3 linked regions of the Astyanax mexicanus genome follow. The protein of the gene in region 1 purifies or fractionates together with the protein of each later gene. This does not show direct contact. Links are inferred from orthologs where the notes say so. Each region holds a gene or a part of one and is shown on either strand. Other genes may lie near its edges.

Evidence for each region.
Region 2: the proteins of vbp1 (region 1) and pfdn5 purify together in Homo sapiens (affinity purification with mass spectrometry; 7 studies listed by BioGRID and IntAct, counting the BioPlex papers as one, with this or other methods). This does not show direct contact. The link is inferred for Astyanax mexicanus from reciprocal best matches to the Homo sapiens genes VBP1 and PFDN5.
Region 3: the proteins of vbp1 (region 1) and pfdn1 purify together in Homo sapiens (affinity purification with mass spectrometry; 4 studies listed by BioGRID and IntAct, counting the BioPlex papers as one, with this or other methods). This does not show direct contact. The link is inferred for Astyanax mexicanus from reciprocal best matches to the Homo sapiens genes VBP1 and PFDN1.

What each region holds. Positions count from the first base shown.
Region 1 is NC_064415.1:17,237,847-17,245,665, reverse strand, and holds the start of vbp1 (prefoldin subunit 3), read left to right. Parts: upstream 1-4,818; 5' UTR 4,819-4,885; coding exon 4,886-4,966; intron 4,967-6,644; coding exon 6,645-6,769; intron 6,770-7,383; coding exon 7,384-7,450; intron 7,451-7,552; coding exon 7,553-7,651; intron 7,652-7,819. UniProt on the Homo sapiens protein: Binds specifically to cytosolic chaperonin (c-CPN) and transfers target proteins to it. Binds to nascent polypeptide chain and promotes folding in an environment in which there are many competing pathways for nonnative proteins.
Region 2 is NC_064412.1:17,137,532-17,144,474, reverse strand, and holds the start of pfdn5 (prefoldin subunit 5), read right to left. Parts: upstream 3,004-6,943; 5' UTR 2,952-3,003; coding exon 2,886-2,951; intron 756-2,885; coding exon 653-755; intron 270-652; coding exon 238-269; intron 105-237; coding exon 30-104; intron 1-29. Other genes in the region: espl1 (separin), read right to left, coding at 4,611-4,812, 5,513-5,677, 5,774-5,857, 5,948-6,063, 6,172-6,276, 6,487-6,651, 6,797-6,940. UniProt on the Homo sapiens protein: Binds specifically to cytosolic chaperonin (c-CPN) and transfers target proteins to it. Binds to nascent polypeptide chain and promotes folding in an environment in which there are many competing pathways for nonnative proteins.
Region 3 is NC_064424.1:11,021,937-11,029,248, forward strand, and holds the start of pfdn1 (prefoldin subunit 1), read right to left. Parts: upstream 3,029-7,312; 5' UTR 2,955-3,028; coding exon 2,922-2,954; intron 897-2,921; coding exon 730-896; intron 1-729. Other genes in the region: hbegfb (heparin-binding EGF-like growth factor b), read right to left, coding at 6,963-7,035. UniProt on the Homo sapiens protein: Binds specifically to cytosolic chaperonin (c-CPN) and transfers target proteins to it. Binds to nascent polypeptide chain and promotes folding in an environment in which there are many competing pathways for nonnative proteins.

The sequences.
Region 1 (7,819 bases):
AAGCTGGGAAGGGATTTCCCTAGTTTCTCCCTCTACAGTGCAACAATACTGCATCATACAAGTCACTCAGGTTTTTGCTTTGGAGTGAGCAATGATGCTGATTAGATCATGAGCTTTTTATACCCACATCTGGATACCTTGACCCTGGTGTTATATAGTGCATACAGTCCTTATATAGCCCTTCTGCCTCCATGCATGTGAGAAAAGAAAAATAACATAGTAAGTAAATATTCAGCTAAATGTTGGTTAAATGTCAGTTGAGGCATCTCTAATGGACCATCCAAATAAAGTCATACTGGTCTTTCTCTATAAGACATAATAAAACACAATTAACTGTTTATTTGTCCATTTCCATTCATTATTCATTTAATTAATCTAACTTAGAACAACTTTGGAGTCCTTTATAAATGTTTACTGACATCATTAATAGCTGTATAATATTATGTAAAGTCTCAGATCTTTCCACATTATTGTAGCCTGTATGCAAGATCAGCTGTTTTTCATAGTCAGATTTATTTTTAGAGATATTATATACAGATAAATGGTCCTAATATTATCCAATAAACAATTCTCACAGCCTCAGAAGGAACCATGTCTAGTCATTATGACTGTGCTGACCATATGTGCTAAACAAACACTTATAAATAACGAATAACAATAAAAGAACAAACATATACACACACATACTGGCACAGTCATGTAGCTGTAAAAATTTGCTAACAGTCTTCATATAGTCACGCCCTGCTCTGTTTCCCTGTGTTTTCTGCGTTTCCCCAGTTATTTTCCCTCACGTGTCTGTAAATTGTAGCTCCGCCCCTCGTTACCTGTCGCCCCAGGAGTTCATTGTTTCCTATTAGTATAAATAGTACCCTTTTGTCTATGTTTGGTCTTCGGTCTTTGCACCTTCCTCTGTCGTTTGTCTTGCCACGTTTATAGTAGTTTTTCCACGCTCCATAGTTCTTTGTTTATCAGTTATTCTCTGTTTATTCCGTGTTTCTATCTCTAGTTTGTTTCCTTGTTTATTTCTTGTATATATTTACGTTTATTTCCTTGCATATATCCCCAGCCCTGTTTAGTTATTATCTGTCTAGTTTAGTTCTTGGTTATTTTCCCTGTTTGTTTATGTATTTATATTTCCTCGTTTACTCCTTATTTGTTTCTTTGTTTATGTTATTTAATAAATCCTGTCTTACTCGCTTTTACGTCCGCCTCCCGTCTGCTCCACCATTACACATATATCACACACCATCAATACACATTTGTCACTGTCCAATGAAAAACACTCCAAAATCTCCAAAACAGCAACCTTACAGAAGAGAGAAAAAACCTTGTAAATGTTCAAAGAAAGTTAATGTAAAAAGAGTTTATTTCAGGTCATTATGAGGAGTTTCTATTGGTCTGTTCATTAAGAAATTTTGGGACAGTGTAAGGGATAGTTTGTCTGTTCAAATTATGTAGTAAACTAAAAATAGACAAAATAGAGATTAGTGTTTTTCATAGGACAGTGACGCTGTATATCTTATAGAATGTCTAAATGCCCTCCAACACCTAATATAACCCAGAGGGTTCTTCAAGAGGGATGAATCTTCATGCTATAGCTCAGCTGGCCTCATTTTCCTCAAGGTCAGCTGGATCAGGGTTTTAAGAGTCCTACTTTATGGTGATCTATAGATGCACAGCTACGGTTCAGAGAACACTGTGTCTCTAATTGCTGTGTTCCTGTAGCTTTATTTCACATTTGGGATTATGAAATGGAGCTGTAAAAGGGAGATGCCAAGAACACTGGATCAATACATTCAGTGCGGTTTCATTTTTTTCTGTCATTTAAGAAGGATTTAAACTGTGCAACAAGGCCATGTTATTGCAACAGCAATGAACTCTTATTAACCATTTCATTTGTGAATGGTATAAAGTGATTAAATGCATTGCTTTGCTGATGACACCCAGCTATACCTCTCATTCTCACCTGAAGATCACTCAATCTCTGCACGGATATTGCAGTGTCTCTCAGACATATCCTCATGAAGGAGCATCACCGTCAACTAAATCTCTCAAAGAGTGAACTTCTGGTTATACCAACAAAACCATCTTTTCAACACAACTTCTCTATAAGCATCGACTCTCTCTCTCTCTCACCGACAAAGGTTGCTAGGAACCTGGGTGTTATGGTTGATGACCAGCTCTCCTTCACGCACCATGTGGCCTCAGTTGCTCGATCCTGCCGCTTCGCGCTTTATAACATCTGAAAAATTCGACAGTTTCTGACGCAACAGCCCACCCAACTCCTGGTACAAGCAGTCGTCATCTCACGCCTCGACTACTGCAATGCCCTGCTAACTGGCCTCCCGGCCTGCGTAGTAAAACCACTCCAAATGATCCAGAATGCAGCAGCACGTCTGGTCTTCAACCAGCCAAAACGGGCACATGTCACCCCATTGCTCATTGAGCTCCATTGGCTACCAGTTAATGCATCAAATTCAAAGCTCTTACAGTCGCCAACAAGGTGATGACAGAACAGCTCCTTCCTACCTGCACTCACTCCTGAAGGCTTACACTACCTCCCAGCCGCTGCGCTCCTCCAATGAACGTCGCCTCACTTTACCAAACAAACATTCACACAAAGCAATCCAGACTGTTCTCATACAGAGTTCCCCTATGGTGGAACAAACTACCTTCCACTACCAGATCAGGAGAATCTCTCACTATCTTTAATAAACTCCTGAAGACAGAGCTCTTCAGGGAGCACTTACTCTCCTAACACCTCTAACACACTAACTACTTCTAACCTCATTTCCTTCTTCCCCTCCTTCACTCCTCTATCCCATTATTTCCCTTTGACCTCCTTTAGACCCTATCTAAAGATGTTTTTACCTTTAACTTATTACTTTTGTACTTCACTATTGTAAGTCTGCCAAATGTAATGTAATGTAAAATGATGTTTAGTTACATCGTTGAGCAACATCAAACTCACAACCAGAAAGAATCAAGACTTAAAAGAGCAGAAAATCAGACAGCAAAACAACAACATTAAATGCAACTGTATAACTAATGGATATACAGCAATGAAATATTAAGTCCATATGTGTGAGCATAACACTACATACATGTACAAAACCAGATATTAATATTAGAAGCTTTATTACAGGAAAATAATTATAGATATATGTTTGGAACATTAATATGATGAATATGTAAATAGCTCAGTATGAATAGTCATGACTGTAATGTTAGTACACAAGGATCATTGGTCCTCATTCACCAAAATCATCTTTCATTCTTGAGAAATGAATGCTGCATTTCTATTTGCTCAATGCCTCAGTTAATCCTTTTTCCATATTTCTCCACTCTGTAGCTGTTGATGTATAAGGGGATTCATGTGGGAATATACACTGACAGGTTTGAGTATAAATTTAGCTTTTATCCAGAAATAGCATCAGAACTGAGAACTAAAGATCCTACAGCAGAAACTGGTGCTCTATAAGCTGCAGCTCTGAGTTTAACAGCAGTAGCACTGATTTAGTCCTCGTCTGAAGTCTCATTTATACTCTTCCACTGACACACATTTCACATCTCCTGCGGTAACGTTCACACCCTAATCTGCTGTATCACCATGACAGCCCAGCGGCCCAGCAGAGCACAGCAGCAGCCCAGAGACACGTCACTAATAGAGACACAGTTCTCAGTACTAAAGAGCCTCACACTGAAGATTAACATTGCATAGAGAGAGAGAGAGAGTCAGAGACAGAGAGAGAGAGAGAGAGAGAGAGAGAGAGAGAGAGAGCATTAGAAAACAGGTGAATAAAAAGGAGACACACTGCCCAAAGTACACTGCTAAAAGTATGGATTGGATTTATATAAAATTTACATTTTCTGAGACACTGAGTTTGGGTTTTTTATTGGCTATAACCCATAATCATAATGCAATTTACTGAATGAAATGAATTACCGAAATAAAGTAACTTTTCAATTATATTCTTTTTTAGATGCACCTGCTCTGGGAAAAAAAAATAATAAAATCAAATAATAATAATGAGTTTCTTTGATTTTACCAAATTGAAAACCTCTAGAATATAATCAAGAAGAAGATGGATGATCACAAGCCATCAAACCAAGCTGCACCAGGAGTGGCATAAAGTTATCCAAAAGCAGTGTGTAAGACTGGTGGAGGAGAACATGCCAATGCATGAAAACTGTGATTAAAAACCAGCGTTATTCCACCAAATATTGATTTCTGAAACTTTTTATGAATATAAACTTGTTTTCTTTGCATTATTTGAGGTCTGAATGCTTTGCATATTTTTTGTTATTTCAGTCATGTATCATTTTCTGCAAATTTCCCGCTCCAAATGACAGTATTTTTTTTTTTATTTGGGAGAAATGTTGTCAGTAGTTTATAGAATAAAACAACAATGTTCATTTTACTCAAACATATACCTATAAATAGCAAAATCAAAAAAATGATTCAAAAACTGAAGTGGTCTCAATTTTTTCAGAGCTGTATATCTGTATCGGGTGCTTGAAGGCTTGTCCCAATTACACTCGAAAACAAGGGGTAGGGTAAAAAAGATAAATGGGATTGGGCCTTAGTGAGGGAGTGAGGGATTTTGGATAAATGATGCCACCTGCCGGTGGATCTGTGAACTGCTCCAACACACAAAACCCCGCTCTGTATCTGTACAATATGTAACCATATGAACAGTTTAAAATAAAATATCTGAGAATGTACCGCTAATAAAGCTCAGATTCAGAGCTTTAACTAAGCAGAAGCCTTTGATTATCAGCGTTAAACCCTCCGGGACGCTGCTGCAGCTTTATAAAGGCCGGGCGGCTGGCCGGAGAAACGCCCAACGTCACCTAAAGAGGAAGGGCTACGGGTCTTTCCAAAATGGCGACGACCATAGAGAGCAGCAATGCTGGAGCTGCGAGCAAGAAAAAACACCTCGGGATCCCCGAAGCGATCTTCGTGGTGAGTGAGCCGCGGACAGGGAGGTGTAAGAGGGCTCGGAGATGTTTTATAAGCCGGTTTGGAAGCTGTTTATCGGGGTTAAAGCCGTTAGCGAGCCCGCTGAGTTAGCGCGGTGCTGCAGCCTGGCCGTTTCCTTTTAAGGCTGTGGCCCAGGCTAATGCTGCTTTAAGAACAAATGGAGGCTAAAAATGAGATTTTCTGTGTTACAAAATCAGCAGTCTATATTTTTCTAGCAGCTACAGTGCATATAACTTAAGTTCATAACGGCTCTGATAGGTTTTCTCCTTATACTAGCCTTTTATTACTGTTCTGTAGTGGAGAGTTTTGTATGGCCCATTGACTGTAACGTTAATGATGAATAGTAGCATAGCTTGGTTAGCTGCTGCAGTAGTTTACTGACTACAGAGGCTGGATTTTATATCCAATATAATATTATAATTATTAATCTCCAAAATAATGATAGGTTGGTTATTTGGGTGTAGCACTATCAGCAAATAATGTAAATGTAAAGTCTAGTAAATATTGTAAAGCAAAATATTATTATTATTATTATTATTATTATTATTATTATTATTATTATTATTATCATATTAATATTAATAATAAGCCAATATAAACGTTTTTAATGAAAGACTTCTATAAAATCATTGTCTGAAGCACATAGATTTAATATTTTATATGTTACCATTAACATACAGTAACAGTCAATGTATATCAATGTGGACACCTCTTCTCGTTCAGTGTTTTCTTTCTTTTTATTATTATTTTTTAATAAATATATTTAGTTTAATCTCTAAAATAATGTTAGTTGATTGTTTGGGGTAGCACTACCAGCAAATAATATAAATATAAAGTCCAATAAATACTGAATAAATTCTCTTCTTCTTCTTCATCTTATTGTTGATTATCTGGAGAACATAGATTATATATCTTCATATGTTACAGTTACAGTTAACATATATTTCCATGGACACATGTTTTCTTCTTTGATTAATTAATTAATTTCTGGTAGAAAACCAGCAAATAATGTAAATGTAAAGTCCAGGAAATACTGTATAAAATAATTATATAAAAAAAAAAGGTTTATGTACTAGTACAACATCATATTTGCTAAATATATAGCTCGTAAGCATCATTCCTAATGGAATTTATACAGAATTTCACACTGGAAGATGCTTGTTATGACATATCTGCAAATGTATTATACTGTACAGAAAAAAATGCTGTAATCTTTATTTTTCAGTGTAACAGTAGTAAACATCACAAATGGAGAAGGTTTTTACAACCAAAAAGAAATGGAGAAGATTTACATCTGTCGATGTATATGTTTATTGTGCTTTATGTTGATGTATCATTAAACAATGGGCTAAAAGTGCTGCTGGTTTGTATCAGAGTACTGTTTACTGGAGTCATGACAAAGCAAGAACCAAGTCAGTTTGCCCCCTCATCCTTCTTTTTTTCAGGGACTTTTAGCCTCAGATAATTCTTTTCATTAACTGGACAAAATAGTATGTGCAAATATCACTTATTAAAGCACTTTTCATTATTGGGAAAGAAGCATAATGAACAAATCCAGTCTAAGCATATCATTTATAATTTTGCATGCCACTTTCATTATTGGGTTAATTTAATTATTGACCTGAGGTCCAGGTACATGACTGTCTCTTCTTTCTTTTAGGAGGATGTGGACTCCTTTATGAAGCAGCCCGGCAATGACACAGCAGATGCTGTACTAAGGAAGCTCGATGAACAGTATCAGAAATATAAATATATGGAGCTTAACCTGTCCCAGAAGAAACTCCGGTTTGTTTATTGTTATTATTATTATTATTATTATTATTGTGAGGTATGGCTGCTTTATTTTGTGTTTTTTTGTGGTTCTAATTATCTTATTAATTGTCCTTTACAAATAATGTTCTTTACAAGTAATGGTTAACCATTAGCCGGTTTTGTTCTAAAAGAATACAATGCTTTTGTTGACAGTTGAGTGTTCATTCCCTTGCAGTGGCACAGTGTTTCTTATCCTAAAGTCCCAAGTGAGCACAATTGGCCTTGCTCTCTGCATATATTTTTATATTAGTGATACCCAGTGGCATTTACCTTTTATTGGACGCTTTCTTCAGAGGAGATAAACTTTTTATCAATTAAAATTGCCTGACCTCCACAAATGCTGCCACTGTCACATATGCTACTTTGACTGCCTGTCATGGTTGGAATGCATTTAATGTAATGGTTCATCAGGACCTCAAATATGGTGTCAGACATAATTTGCTGTGTCATTGTGCTCTATTTATGAAGTATTTTAACATATTTCCAGTCCTAGTCATAGTGTGTGATTGCTGAAATGGGCTTGAAATGAGCCAGTACAAATCCTAGCGGTCCAGAAGTTGTGAAATGTGGAATTTTGCCTTGTTTAGGTTGAAAAGCCAGATTCCACAAATCAAGCAGACGTTAGAAATCTTACGGCACATGCAGAAGAAAAAGGTAAGCAATACTGTTAACTGTAGTAATAAAAATCAGCTTCTGTCTTTCTGCTCTCCTTTTTTCAGTCTACTCATTCAGTAATGTCTCCTTGTCTTGGTACAGGACACTACAGATCCAATGGCGACTCACTTCCTTTTGGCTGATAACGTGTACTGCAAGGCCTCCGTCCCTCCCACAGATAAAGTGTGTTTGTGGCTTGGGGTAAGTATTCAGCTCACACCTGAGGAGCAATGCTGGCTCAAAGGAGAACTTTAATTGACTTTTGGTGTAGTAAAACATGCTTAAAAGTTATACCTTTGTTAAACAGCCCACCACCACTCTCCTGCAGCTTTCTGAGGCCCAGTTATTTTGTGCTTTTTGCCAGGCACT
Region 2 (6,943 bases), on another chromosome or scaffold:
GGCTTTAAGTAATAAAAACTATTACTCACTTTCTCTACAAAGTAACCAGTTCCCACATCTACCAATACATGTTCTACATCATTCAGGGTTCCTGGAACATACATCTGAATGATGCAGTTAAAGAAGTTAACACCACTTAAATGCATTATAAAACACACACACACACACACACACACACACACACACACACACTTAAAGAGCATTAATTGACTGTCATTCAGTTGGTGAAAAGGATACAGAGCTGGTAAGAGGAACAAGTAATTCTTTTCCTAAAAGAAAGGAAAGAAAGAAACACAAAGGACATTATTCAATGGAGTCCTCTATTTTGAATGTTTTAGGATTTTTGTTCTAACACATTTGATCAAACACTAAAAAGACCAACTTAAAAGTGGGTGTGTAAAAGCAGAAATAAAACTATGAATGATCCACATAGGAATGTAGGGCCAAATGTCAGAATCTCAAAGGTTAGTTTTGGGATCATTGACTCTAGTAATGGAAGTCCAGCCTATCCAATACAAGATGGGATTACGTTATTTTGATCACTAAACAATACTGTACTGTGAAATACACCAACTTGTGTTTAAGCAGGAAAATCACCGAACTGTTATAGACGCAAGTCATCCAGAACAGGCCTAGGTTTAACAAGCCTCACCTTCATTACTCTTTTTGAGAACATTCAGACTGTCCTTAGCTTCTACATACTTTGTTTGGACCACTTTCAACTGGGCTATGGATGAGGACAGGAACTCTGTTTCCTAGAAGCAAGATGAAGAAAACAGCAATGATTACGAATAATGTGCAGAGCAATAAAACAGTATTTTAAATCAGGAATACAATAATCATGCAACAGCAATATACACAGACATCTGAATGCTAAACCATTATTAACATTTACACGCTGCCTAAAACACAGGTGTGGTAGTGTATTGTAAATAGATGTTTTGAATTCTGCTCCTTCTCTGACATCTACCAAACAACTCTCCGCTGCTTATTAAGGTGCTTAGTCTTTCTCTATGTAGAAATAAGAAATTCCCTAATGCTACTAAGATTGTTTTTTTTGTGCCAAGATATTTTCTGAACACCCAGCATTGATTCATTTACAGTGGCAGCATTTTAAAGTTATTAGAAAAACAATGGATATCAAAAAGTTATATTTTCCTACTAATACTAATGATTGAGCATTTCTTAATTTTAAATCTTTAATTGTAATATCAAGGAATGTGACCAGAAAATATTTAACATAAGAAATACTCGCTTCTTATCCTGGCTCACACAAGCTTACCTAGCTAAGACAAAATACAGAGCAAACAAAGAAAAATGTGGTGTGGTTTTAGCTATTCAAATGAACTTTTTCACTCTAACCCATAAGAGCCCAGACCCATTTCATTATTACTAGATTGTTATTGTTATTGTTATTACAGTCATAATTATGACTGTAGAGCTTTGTTTGGGTTCTCTCTATCTTTTCTCTTTCTCTGTCTCTCTCTCTCTCTCTTGTTTCTTCACCAAATAGTGCGCTGGATAGATAACCGTTTTGTCTCTCTCTTCCTCTCTTTCTGCGACTGTCTCTCTCCGTCTCTCCCTCCATCTTTCTCTTTCTGTCTCTCTCGCTTGTTTCTCCGCCAAATAAAAAGCTTTAGGGCAGGAAGTAGGACACTCAGACTTACTCTGGCGTTATTCCACTATCCTATTTATTAATTCATACATGAACTAATGCAGCACTTATACTCACTCTGTAAATTTAACCCAACAGTCTGTTAAAGGCACAGTGTATAATTTACTGAATACTGGCCGTTTCATATTTCCTCCAGGCCATTTATATGGTAATCCTTAAGATTTTTATACTCAGCAAATTAAGTTGGAATTCAGAAATCTTCACCAACATTTACAATCCAATTTATTGTGCTCTCTTTATTCCAGCACCCTATGTTGATTTTATCTCCCCTCAAACATAAGTATATACTATTATTTTTTATTTTAATTATTATTAATTGACACCACCAATATACATATAATTGCATTTTACATTTCTTACATTCATTCTTTTATTTACATTTAAATATTCACTATAAAAATTTATGTCTGAAGAAAAACAAATTCGATTAATCGTAAAATTTCGTTGTGATTAATCGGATTACATTTTTAAATCAATTGAGACCATTTAAAAATACACATTTAATAAGAGCTACTTTATCTCCAGCACTATCCCAGCACTCCTACGTTCTGTTAATAGGGTCAGATGAAATAACTCACATTCACACACTGTATTGTAACGATACTCAGGATGATCAGTATGTCCCTTTATGAATAATTAAAGTGAAGTACAGAGTGCTGGAAGGAATTTTACTCCGCTTTTGAAGGGTCTGAGAGACACATACTTCCCCACGGGTTATTTTGGGGGTTATTTTAAAACAATCTCAAAACAAACAGCTGAATCAAAGTGCTGTACAATAAATAATTATAAAACTTAAAAAAATAGAAATAATGTGAGTGACAAAATAGAATTAAAAACAGTAACAGTTAGCTAAAGAAAAACAATAACGATGATTTGTAGCCACGCTGTATCTACATGTGGGCGGGTTGCACAGCAGATGCAGTTCTGCACTTAGTTAACCCTGTATTTGACAAGTTTAGCTAGGTTACATAAAAAGGGGGTGATTATAGTTAAATTATTTGGTAAGTTAGCTAATACTTGCAGCACATGGGGGGCGGGGGATCTGCCTCCTCTCTCTCCCGGTCTGAGAGCAGCTAGCCGGGAGCTAACAGCAGCGTGACCGCGCCTTAACCACCCCTCACCCGCACCCAGCCACTCTGTGGCTCCGGCCCCGAGGAACTCCTGTACACAGCGTTATCCTGCAAGCGTTTAATAAACTCCAGGAGCTCACCTGTTCGAGCTGAGTCTTCAATCCCTCCAGCTGAGACAGAGATAACTCAGTCAGATTCACCGCCATGTTGAGAAAAAGACAATAAGGGACACTTCCGGATAAACCGGAAACCGATAGAGACAAGCCTATATCAGTAATAAAATGTAACAAAATAAAAGAGTGTAATATATGAGCAGTTTAAAATAAATATAGATATATTAGAAATTAAGACAAAAACACAGAATTTAAAACAGTTTTATCAAAGCTTGTTTTACTTCTGTGACATGATTTTTTGAAGGAAAAAACAAAAGCACTGCTTAAAAAGAGGTTTGAAAAAAAAAGAAAAAAAGTGTAAAATCTTAATTTAATTTAATATTTATTATTATAAACATGCATATTTATTTTTAACTTAAATGCATTCAAAGTTAAATGTATTATATTAAAAATAACAATAACACGAAAGGGACTTTGTAACTATCAAAAAAAATGGTTTGTTGCCTGACGGCAACATCATGCCATAGAGGGTTTAGAATTCAGTATCACAAAATTAAATATAAAATGTTTCCTTAACTCATAAGAGCTCATACCATTTCTAAACATTAATATCAAATTCCAAATTAAATCAGAAATTCAGTGACCAGCTCATTGTAGATCTTTATTATTGTAGGCACATGACTGTAAATATTTTATGGTTAAATCCTGATGTAACGTAAATGACACTAATTTCATAACGTGTATTTTAATAATGTGCTCTAGAAATCAGGTTAATATTGGTTCTATAGAATGTAAACCAATTTAATTAAAGTGAGTTATTAAAACAAATGGAACAGATCCATAGAAGCAAAAATACAAATAACCCAGCACTAAATAAAGTGAGATTAACACCCATTTCACACTTTGTCCTGCAGTGATGATCTCACAATATTCAGCACGTCACAGCTTTTAAAAGTGGCAAATGATAAAAGTGATTATTAATCCTGATTTACTTGATTCAGTTTATCTGGCAAATCAAGTCATGAACTAAACTTTGTGTGTTAGTCTCACAAAAGACTAAACTTAACAAAGCCTTTTTATTGATTTGGTCCATCCCATTCCATTTTTGCTCAGTAGTCACAACCTCAAATATAAATCTACATATCTAAACAGTACCACTATAAATTACAATAAGACAGGCTGCTTAAAACTGGTGTTAATTTAAGGTTCCTCTGGTTTACTGTTTGTTACACAGGATTTATATCCTATCCTATCTGTAGAACCTTGTGATTAGGCTACATAAGTCTTAAATCTTTGGAGCAGAGACAAAATAAAATGGAGCCAAATCTATAATGGCTATTCCACAGAAATACAATTAAAAGGTGAGGGGACAATAAAAAGAACAAACAAGAAAACACCACTCACACCCACAAATGTTTCCATGAATTTAATGTATCTTATGCATTTGTTGCACAATTTAAGACTGAGAGTTAAAAACAGAAAATTTCACATTTCCTTACTTGCACAAATTAAAAAAGGCTTAACAATTTAAATACAATATTTCTAAAAACGTTTATAAAAGTTTAAGAAAATCACACATGCATATATTAAACATTAAAGAATTCCACATGAAGCTGAAATTTTAAATGGCTCAGTGTTGGTAAGTATGCATCAGCCATACCACACTTGATATTATAAACAAATCCAAAACTATACACAGTTTGCTTCAAAATCTGAATACTGTGACTGAACACATCTACTCTAGCTTCAGGTCTATTGTAGGTGTACAGGTAGGCCATATGCAATTGGTGCAGCACCAATCATGTGCTTGAGGTGTGTGGCATCTCGCGAGGTACTGAGGTGCTGAAGTAAAGAAGAACCTGAACCGCCAGACAGCCAAGACTGTAACAGGGCGGAAGTGAACCGATCAATGTCACGATCAGTTACATCCCACAAGTTCCCCAACACCAACGGGCTAAAGAAGGGAAATAAAAAAAAAAAACAGCAATTTACAGGGAGAAAGACCACAACAACGGTTTCTAGTGTTTAGAAAGAGAAGTATACCAATTAGGAAGGTGACAAAAAATAAAGTAGGATTCAATTTTAATTGAGAGTTAATAATGGGAATATATTTCTTGCTAAAAAGAAAATCCACATAACATGCACTGGTGGCCTACAGTTGAAGAAAGCTAAAGCTTGGAAGATGAGGTGGGAAAGAATTAGGTTTGAAATTCACCTAATAAATCTGCAGAAGATAGGAATTTCTAAAATGCAATTAAATAAAAAAAAAAAAATCTTAACCAAGTTCATTTGTTATTTGGAATTTATTTGAGAGTTTATTTTCTAGTTTGAGACAGTTGTTTTGTAGTGGGTTGTGCTATAAAGATAAACAGATTTTATCTATCCCTTTTATTTAGTCAGATACGTGCAGTCTTATTCCACTAAACTATATAATAGCCAAACATATATTGGTAACTAAATTAGGCAATAATACAGATAGTAAATATTTTCTGGATTGTCTAATTGCTAAATAATTATGAGGAAACATTTGATGAAACTAATTTTTGTAATCAATGGTTAAATGTAATTTGTCTGACAAAATGTTGACATCAGACTTTGAATTAGAATTAAATTCATACAGTATATAAGGTAAATTTATGTAAAAATAAAATTACCATCCAGCGATGAGGTAGCTAAGGATGATGCCGGTTCCCTCGAGGCAGCCCTGCACACTAAGTGCTGCACTACTGCAGCCAAAAAGCAGAGCCGCCGCTTGCACGGGTCCCTTCATCACCCTCTGAGCATCCAGGAAGCGTGCCCCTGCTCCATGTCCTACATAACTGCAATCCATAAAATAAAAGGCAAGTTTAGTCACTTTAAAAAAAAAAAAAAAAAATTGATGGTAATGAAGTGCAAATTTTGAGAGGCTCACTCACATATACAAGTCTTTGGTGGTTATTGCTTCCTGTAGTTTATCAGGATCAGGAGAAACTCCACACACTCCCTGCCATGTCTTCTCACTGAACAGCAAAAGGCAAAATTCACTTTAAGAAATTATACAGAGATTTGACCAGTCAAACAGCATGGTGGTGCATGCGTGTAATACAAACCTAGTAAACCAATCTCTGAAGCGCTTTTCAGTCTCAGGCAGGTTTCCATCTGGGTTCAATACAAAATAAACTTGCTGGGGATCTACACCACGTGACAGCACACAGTCTGAATTCATCTGAAAGTAGAGGAAAATACTCAAATAAATGACTCAAAACAATCTCAAGAAAATCATCCACAATTCAAGTAAAAATAAAACCTTCAAAATAACTAATAATGGCTGCACCTTTTGGAGATGGCCATGTCCTAGTACAGCCTGTAAAGAAGGCATGCGGGAGACAGAGCGAGGCCTCAAACAAGAGATGTTCTCCCATGGCAACCTTTGAAGGTACTGCATAGACACACACACAAAAAATATTAAAAACAAAGGATTTTTTGCCATCTGTGAAAAAACATTTAATCTTATTATAGCACTAGCAGCACTATACAAGTGTCATACTGTATAGTAAATTAATCAGTACGCAGACAAGACTTTATTTAGTAGTACTACCAAATTAAGAAGAAGGGTGGGAGAAAAAAAAAAAAAAAAAACTTTTCCTACCTTGTCTAAGATTAGAACTGTATGTCCTTGAGGCTCTTCCCTCCCTTTCAGTTCAGACACACCCTTCTGTAGAAGCTTCAGGAAATTTCCCTCCATCAGACCTGCACCCTCAGCCAATGAGTGTAGGTCTGATTGAGAGAGCAGAGGAGCTGCAGAAAGAACCACCTTGAGGCAGAAAAAAAGAAAATTTAAAATCATGCAAATGCACCTCAGGTTTTTGTTATTGCTGTATGACCAATAACAAAACACAGATCAATGCCTTTAGTAAGCTTATAATTTGTAAGCATCATACAACATTGTAGACACAGACCTTAAGCATGCCCGAAGTGATCTTTGCTCCTTCTATCGAGGCTTGGAGAGTTTCAAGCTGAACTTGAAGTTTAGGGTCAGAAGTCAAGGGGAGGAGCAAAGCTCGCCATATCCCTAAGGCCTCCTCCATCTCCTCAAGCAGTCTCTG
Region 3 (7,312 bases), on another chromosome or scaffold:
TCAGATACAAATTCGATCCATGGACATGCAAATATCCATGGAATATGTCAAATCAGAATTCATGCGTCTTTTTGCTTTTACACATTAGCATTAGCACTACATGCTTCTCTCTCGTACCCACACTACATCTCTTGGTGCAGCTGTACAGCTATAGCTGCAAAAACAGCAAAAGCAAACCGCCTGGCCTTTTTTCACCTCCTCGACCTGAGCATGAACTTCAGACCAGCTGTTTGCTGTTTCTCCACTCCAGCAAAAGATGCTCCACATATGAGCTGCTAACGCATCCATTTCCCTTTACACATTTACGAGTCATCTCTTAAATATGACATTTTTTGTTGTTGGTGAAGAAGAAGACGTTTATACTCGTATCAATCTGCGCATGTGAGAGGTTTCAGGGACAGATTCGTTCACATTACACACAGATACAGACCACTTACATTTATAAATGTAAACCATCAAGAAAATCTGATTTGAGGAACGTGGCTTGTAAATTAAACGTAGCCAATATGCTCTAGGTTTCTTCAGAAATCAAGATTACTCATAGGGAGCTATAAAATTGCAATAAAAGCTTCTACAAGCTGTGAAGATGATTTAAGCTGTGAGTGCTGTCATTGAATTAACTAATTAAAAGAGATCTAAGGTCTGGACATTTTGGACAGGTAATATAGGATTTAAAACCGAAAATCACCATATATTACCTAATCTAAAGATAATTTCTGAGATACGTACATGCGCCCGACTCCTTCATACATCCGAGTGCTGTCAGGAAGGGAGGTTATCTCCACATGTGTCAGATTGGAGTGCTTCTTCATGCGACTCAACTGCTCGATCTGCAGGTCGGCGATCTTGACTTTTTGCTGCGTATCAATCATTTTAGCTTGCAGTTCAGCAAAGGCCTAGAGCACAACACACAACACAATATCTATTAATGAAGTATCTATAAACATAAATTCAGAACAACAAAACTCTTTAACATGACAAAAACATACACAGTGTAGTTATATACAGTATGCTTTAAAATATAAATATACAGAACTTTTTACAAGCGTTTTAGGTACCTTACCACATCATTTTAAAGCATTTATCTCTGCAATAAGTGTATTTTTGCTTGTAAACACAGTATAAATTTGCTTGCTTTTTATTGTTATTTTTAATACTACTGAATGGCAATTTACATAAAGGCAAAACAAATATTTTAACACTACTGTGATAAACCATGTAATTTTTTTTTTCAAGAGGATATTTTACACATCTTTACAGAACTTTTTCTTTTTTCCATGTGTAACAACTAATCAAAGCAAACAAAAGCATAAAAATTAAATACTAAGTATTTATAAAAATATTTTATTATATGGTCCACACCAGATCCGGGCATTGTGTGCTCCACATGCTACATTCAGCTCTTTAGTTTTTGATAACCACCTCTTTGCATATCCACTTAAGCAATTGAGCAAGACTTTATTAGCCCAAATAGTCTATATTTCTCTTACTAAACCCAGTATTTAGACAACAAACCAAATAGCCACTCAGATAGCAAAAGGATGTTGAACATTAACATTCATTTTTCCATTGCTAATGTACTGAAACAATACTGGTCACCCACGTCAGAAGTGATTTATTTATACACATCAATTTCATGTTGATTCAAAAGTAGGTTTTATGTGTACAGTTTGCATTAAACTTTAATGACATTAAAATAAGTAATCTTGTTTGTAGTGTATTTTATAGCCTGCACTGTATAATAGTAATTTGTATATTAATATTAGGTATTTTTGGGAAGCACCTTTTATCTATAAGCGTTGTTAGTGTAGATTCAGAGCTCCAACTAGGGGTGTGACGTATCATATCGTACGCAATAATATGGCCAACATTTTTTAATATCGTATATTATATCGTATATTATACCCCGAAATATTGTGTCATATCACCCACCCCTAATTATCACATCAGAGTACTATTTTTTTTTTTTGCTGTTGTTAGCTAAAGAAAAATTTACACTGGTCTTATTTCCCATTATATATCTACTAGAGGCAGATTATATCTGTCCAGTAATATTTATTTTACTTCAGTCCTGGATATATGGAGCTATATGGAGTGTATTATTAGTATCATGACATTCTGTATTTTTTACTTTTGTTACAAATCTGATACAATTATTTTATTTTTTAATATATCAGTTAGGGGTGTGCCATATCATATTTTGTTGCAGTAGTCTATTCTTATTTTTTTTTATTCAGTGCCATATCGCCAAGAATATTGTATACTCTGAAATATCATAATATTATTTTTGGGTCATATCACCCACTCCTAGACCAAACTATTCAAAATGAAATGAATGCAACTTTATTGCAAAATATTTTCTCTTTTGGTTCTTACTGTTTATTTCTTTGCTTTTGGTTTTTTTAACTGGCACTATATTCATTGCAAAAAAAGTTTGAGGTGCTACAGCTCAGGGATGTTTTAATGTTTTTTTTTTCTTCATGTAAAGCTTTTTTGAGTTGCCATTGTGTGTGAAATGCGCTGTATAAATAAACCTGCCTTGCCTCAGCATTATTGGAAGGATTTATTTTAGCTACAGTGGCTAGCTAAAACCTAGCCAAGGTCATATCCTACATCCAAATAATCCTAAACTGGAATCTGTGTCTGGATAACAGCCTCTATAAACTGTTAGGTAGTAGTGAGGCTAATACCAATAATACATCGTTAAATAACCAAGTAAATAGCTATAATAAACCCGGAGCTGTGTATTGTGTAGCATTAGCTACTGTTAGCCACTCCGCTTTATTCAGTTTATATCTGTGCTGTTTAATCAGAGACCCTGATCAGAACCCGCTTTAGCTGTTTCACACCCCGATCACACAGAATAATCCCAGCTCAGAAACCCACAGCTACCGTAACAGCGATCATCAGCCACGCTTTACCTTCTTCAGCTCTAGGTCTACGGGGGCTGCCATGTTGCAGAAGGCAGGGCGAGTGTCTGCGCATGCGTACTGAAGACAGTCCACTCCGGGTTGCCAAGGTGAAGCAGAAGGCTGCTTTGGCTTTTTTGTGAGAAGAGTTAAGATATCATTACAATACCATTGAAAAGTTACTTTATTTCAGTAATTCAGTTTAAAATGTGAAACTCATATTTTATATAGATGTATTACACATAGAGTGGTCTATTTTAAGTTTTTATTTATTTTATTGTTGATGATTATGGCTCACAGCCAATAAAAACCCAAAAATCAAAGTCTCAGAAAATTAGAATATTATGTAAGGCCAAGGGCGTAGGAGCGGGCTTGATATTGGGGGGGGGACACATTTGCCAATATGAACCTAAGCCCACTCTATAGTTTCCTAGAACAACATTTGTGGAATTTACTTTTAATTAAAAGTAAATTATTATTATAAGGTGATTTTACAATCTAAACATGTTACTCCATGTTACAGTTACTGTGGTTAGAAAAAAATATGCATGCAATGTCTGAATTATATACATATGACAATAATGATCAGTTATCACCTAATATTTAAAATAATACAGATTTGGTTATTATTATTATTATTATGTATTGGCATGTCAATTCTGTCGTATATTTACATTTTCTCCTGCGCATAACAGAAGTCATGTTACAGCTGTGTTTCTCAACCCTGTTCTTACATATTCTACTGCATATTAACACTGTTCTGTGTTGTGTATTCTGCATATTCTACAGCTTACTCTGCTTTAAAGGCATTTCATAGAGTAAGTGGTGGAATGATGTGTCTAATAAACTGCTGGATATACATGATTAATTTAGGATCCATAGAGGGCTAAAGGGTTTTAACAGGTAAACTCAGTAAATTACTGTTTATTAGCTGATCAGCTGGATCAGGTGGAAAACACTATTTTGGGGGCAGTGACCAGGGTTAAGAAACTGCTTTAAACTACAAACGTAAAGTACTGTACTAAATTCTGGCTATCCACTACATGCAGCTTCTAGATAACTAGTTAGCTAAATTAATTTTCGTTCATTATAGCTCACAGTAAGTCCTGCAATCCTAAATTAATAAACAAAGTTTGAAAATGAAATAGTGAATAGCTGATCAGGTACAGGGCAAGTTGAACATTATATATATAGTTTTTTTTCTTTAACCCTGACTCCCAATCTAGCTCATTCCAAAGTTAAGCTAACTCACTAACACAGCTGCAGTTCATTAATCACAGTGGGTTTAAACTGTGTGCTGATTCAGAGACGTGTATTTTTAACCAGCTATCAGAAACATATCATCACAGTTGAAGTGGTTAGCCTATCGTTACCTTTCTTTTAGTAAAATCTCCGTATATCCATCTCTGTTTTAAAATCAGCTGAAGCTGCTGCGTCCCGATCCCGCTGCTAAATCTCACAGCGAGGGGGCGGGGCTTCCCCAACAGCAAACTGCCTCTCCTCCGCGCGCCGCAAAACCAGCAAGATTGGCTGTTTCTGCCAATCTACTGAGAGGCGGGACTTAATACCTGAACAGGCTCCGTGATTGGTCCGGTCTGTCTCCTCATTAATAGTACAGCTGATCTGAGTGAAACGATATAATTTTTGGGGGGGACAAATCGACCTGTTTCTAATATTGGGTGGGACATGTCCCACCCATCCCCCCCGGTTCCTACGCCAATGTGTAAGGCAAATTGGTACTTTTGGCAGTGTGGGCAGTGTGCCAAGTCCTGCTGAAAAATGAAATCCGCATCTCTATAAAAGTTGTCAGCAGAGGGAAGCATGAAGTGCTGTAAGATTTTCTGGAAAACACTGCACTGACTTTAGACTTGATATAAACACAGTGGATCAACACCAGCAGATGACATGACTCTCCAAACCATCACTGGTCATCAGTAAACTTTACATTTAATTTTTTAATCAAGGGAGCAGAGTCTGAAGGAAGAGTGGAGAGCTTCCACAATCAGAAATGACTGTTTTATTGTGTTTTTTATTTGCCAATTTGAGGGTTTAGGGAGGCACAGCCTTTTGGTGTATCTTAATGAGCGTATCTGGCAACCCGAGTCTTCTTCACTCAACATCACACACGCGGTTGGGAGTCAGACATTGCAGACAGAGACTAATGTTCTTTGATGAAATTGTGTAATAGACGTTGTTGTGGTTGTCTGTATGTGTCGTAATTGTACATATATACTGTACCAGAGGACACACCTTAAATTGAGTTTAAATTGTTCTGAATTGTAGATTAAAGTAATCCAAACTATGATTTGTTTATTAAACAAAACATGTTAAACAAACCAGAATATGTTTTGTATTTTAGTTTCTTTTAGAAGACACCTCTTGTTTAGATGAAAGCTTTGCACATATTGGCTGGATTTCCTCAGTCAGCTTTATAAAGTAGAGTCACCTTGAATGGATTTCAGTTAACAGCTGTGCTGAACTTGTCCAGAGTAAATTAATGTGTTTGAGAGCATCAGTTGTAAAGTTCTGAAATGCTTTACATTTTTAACATGTTTAATTTTACTACATGATTCCTTATGTGTTTCTTCATAATCTGGATTTCTTCAGTATTCATTTACAATAAAGGGAAAATAAATAAAAAACATTGAATGGTAAAGTGTGTCCACACTTCTGACTGGTACTGTGTGTAGTTTTTGCTGTCTGAGCCGCATTTGCCATTACAAGCAACTTAGCATTGTATTGGACAGATGTCCAATGCCAGTATCAGTATTCATGCATCTCTAATCTAGACGAGTTCAGGTCCTGATAACTGCTGTATGAGAACCAGAACCAACACATCTAACCGCTACTGACTAATTAATGCAGCATCTAGTGACAAGCTCTTAGTCAGTGACTGTGTATAAGCTACAAAAATGTTCACACATATTTGTGGTATGTTGTAGTCAGTATAAAACACATTTTCAACTTTAATATCTTTCATTTTACCTGATTTATTTATTTGTTTATTAATAATTTAGGAAACATAAAAAAAAATAATACTGCAGAACAAAACAACTTATGTACAAAGTCTAAAAAGAACACACATTTTATTTTTTCACAGTATTCACAAGATAAATTAGACAAATGTAAAAAAAATTACAAATAAATACAGTAAAACAAATACAGTAGTGTAAGTATTTGGACAGTGAAAGTTCTTTTGTTTACTTCTGTTGTGTGCTGGAATTACAAATACAATAAATATTTCTTAACATTTCAGAATGAGCAGTAGCAGTTATGCTTTGTGACTCTGAAAACTCTTAAATGTTGAATCACAAAGCCAAAAGAACAGAAAAAGAATTAGATCACTGTCCATTTACAAACTACTACATAGACCGGCAGTGCACTTAGTACTTACACACAATGATTATTTAACTAAATAAATAGATAAATAAAAAACGTTTTAAGTTATAAAAATAAATAGAAGGGAAACAATACATACAACACAAACACAAAGCTACATTCATTGACTTTCTTCATTTGTATTACACACAGGTTGATTTATCAGGAGTGAGGCATCTCACCATACCTCTCTGGGGAGGAGTGTGCTCCAAGAATTGAGAATTTGGGAGCAACTAGGGCTGTGACTGTTACCGCATTACGGTCATACTACAGTCATTTGATGATTACTGCTGTATTTAGCGAATTACCATTATCACCGCAGTTATTATTTATTTATAAAATAATTACAGTTCCAGCTTTAATATCTGATGGACTGAGCCACATTAATTAACAGTGGAAGAAACAGAAACAAACCAACTGTTCTCCGCATGTCCAAAAGTGCTCTGTTACCACTGACCAGTTCTCTCCATCTGTCTTGCCATCAGTATGATCACCTGCAGGAAAAAAAACAATTGTAACTGATTGTTAATAATTAATACAGAACATAATAATAATAATAATAATGATACATTTGTAGTGGTTATTTTTTTGGCCTTTATTCAACACAGAATGCACACAAAAAAAGTTATATTTTTCATCATTATATATTACAATGCTCACCCTTCTTCATCAGCACTATTGTACACTCGCTGCCTCAAGTTTGATCTTCTCCTCACTTTCTGTCTCTATTTCACCTTTTTTATGACACCTGCGAAAAATACATGCAGTATTGTTAGTATGTTTTGCAAAACAAAAACAGTGTATGCAAATGCAAATGTGTCCAAGGTAGGGGTGGGCGATATGGCCCTAAAATAATATCACAATATTGCAGGGTATTTATAGTGAGGTATTTTTAAATTAGTTTTAATGAGAATAAATGTAGACGTTTCTTACATTCAGTTGAAAAAAATCTATAAATGTTTGTCCATTTCATAAACCATAACATACAAAAACCCTGAATTTGTATATAATTATAATTGTGTAAC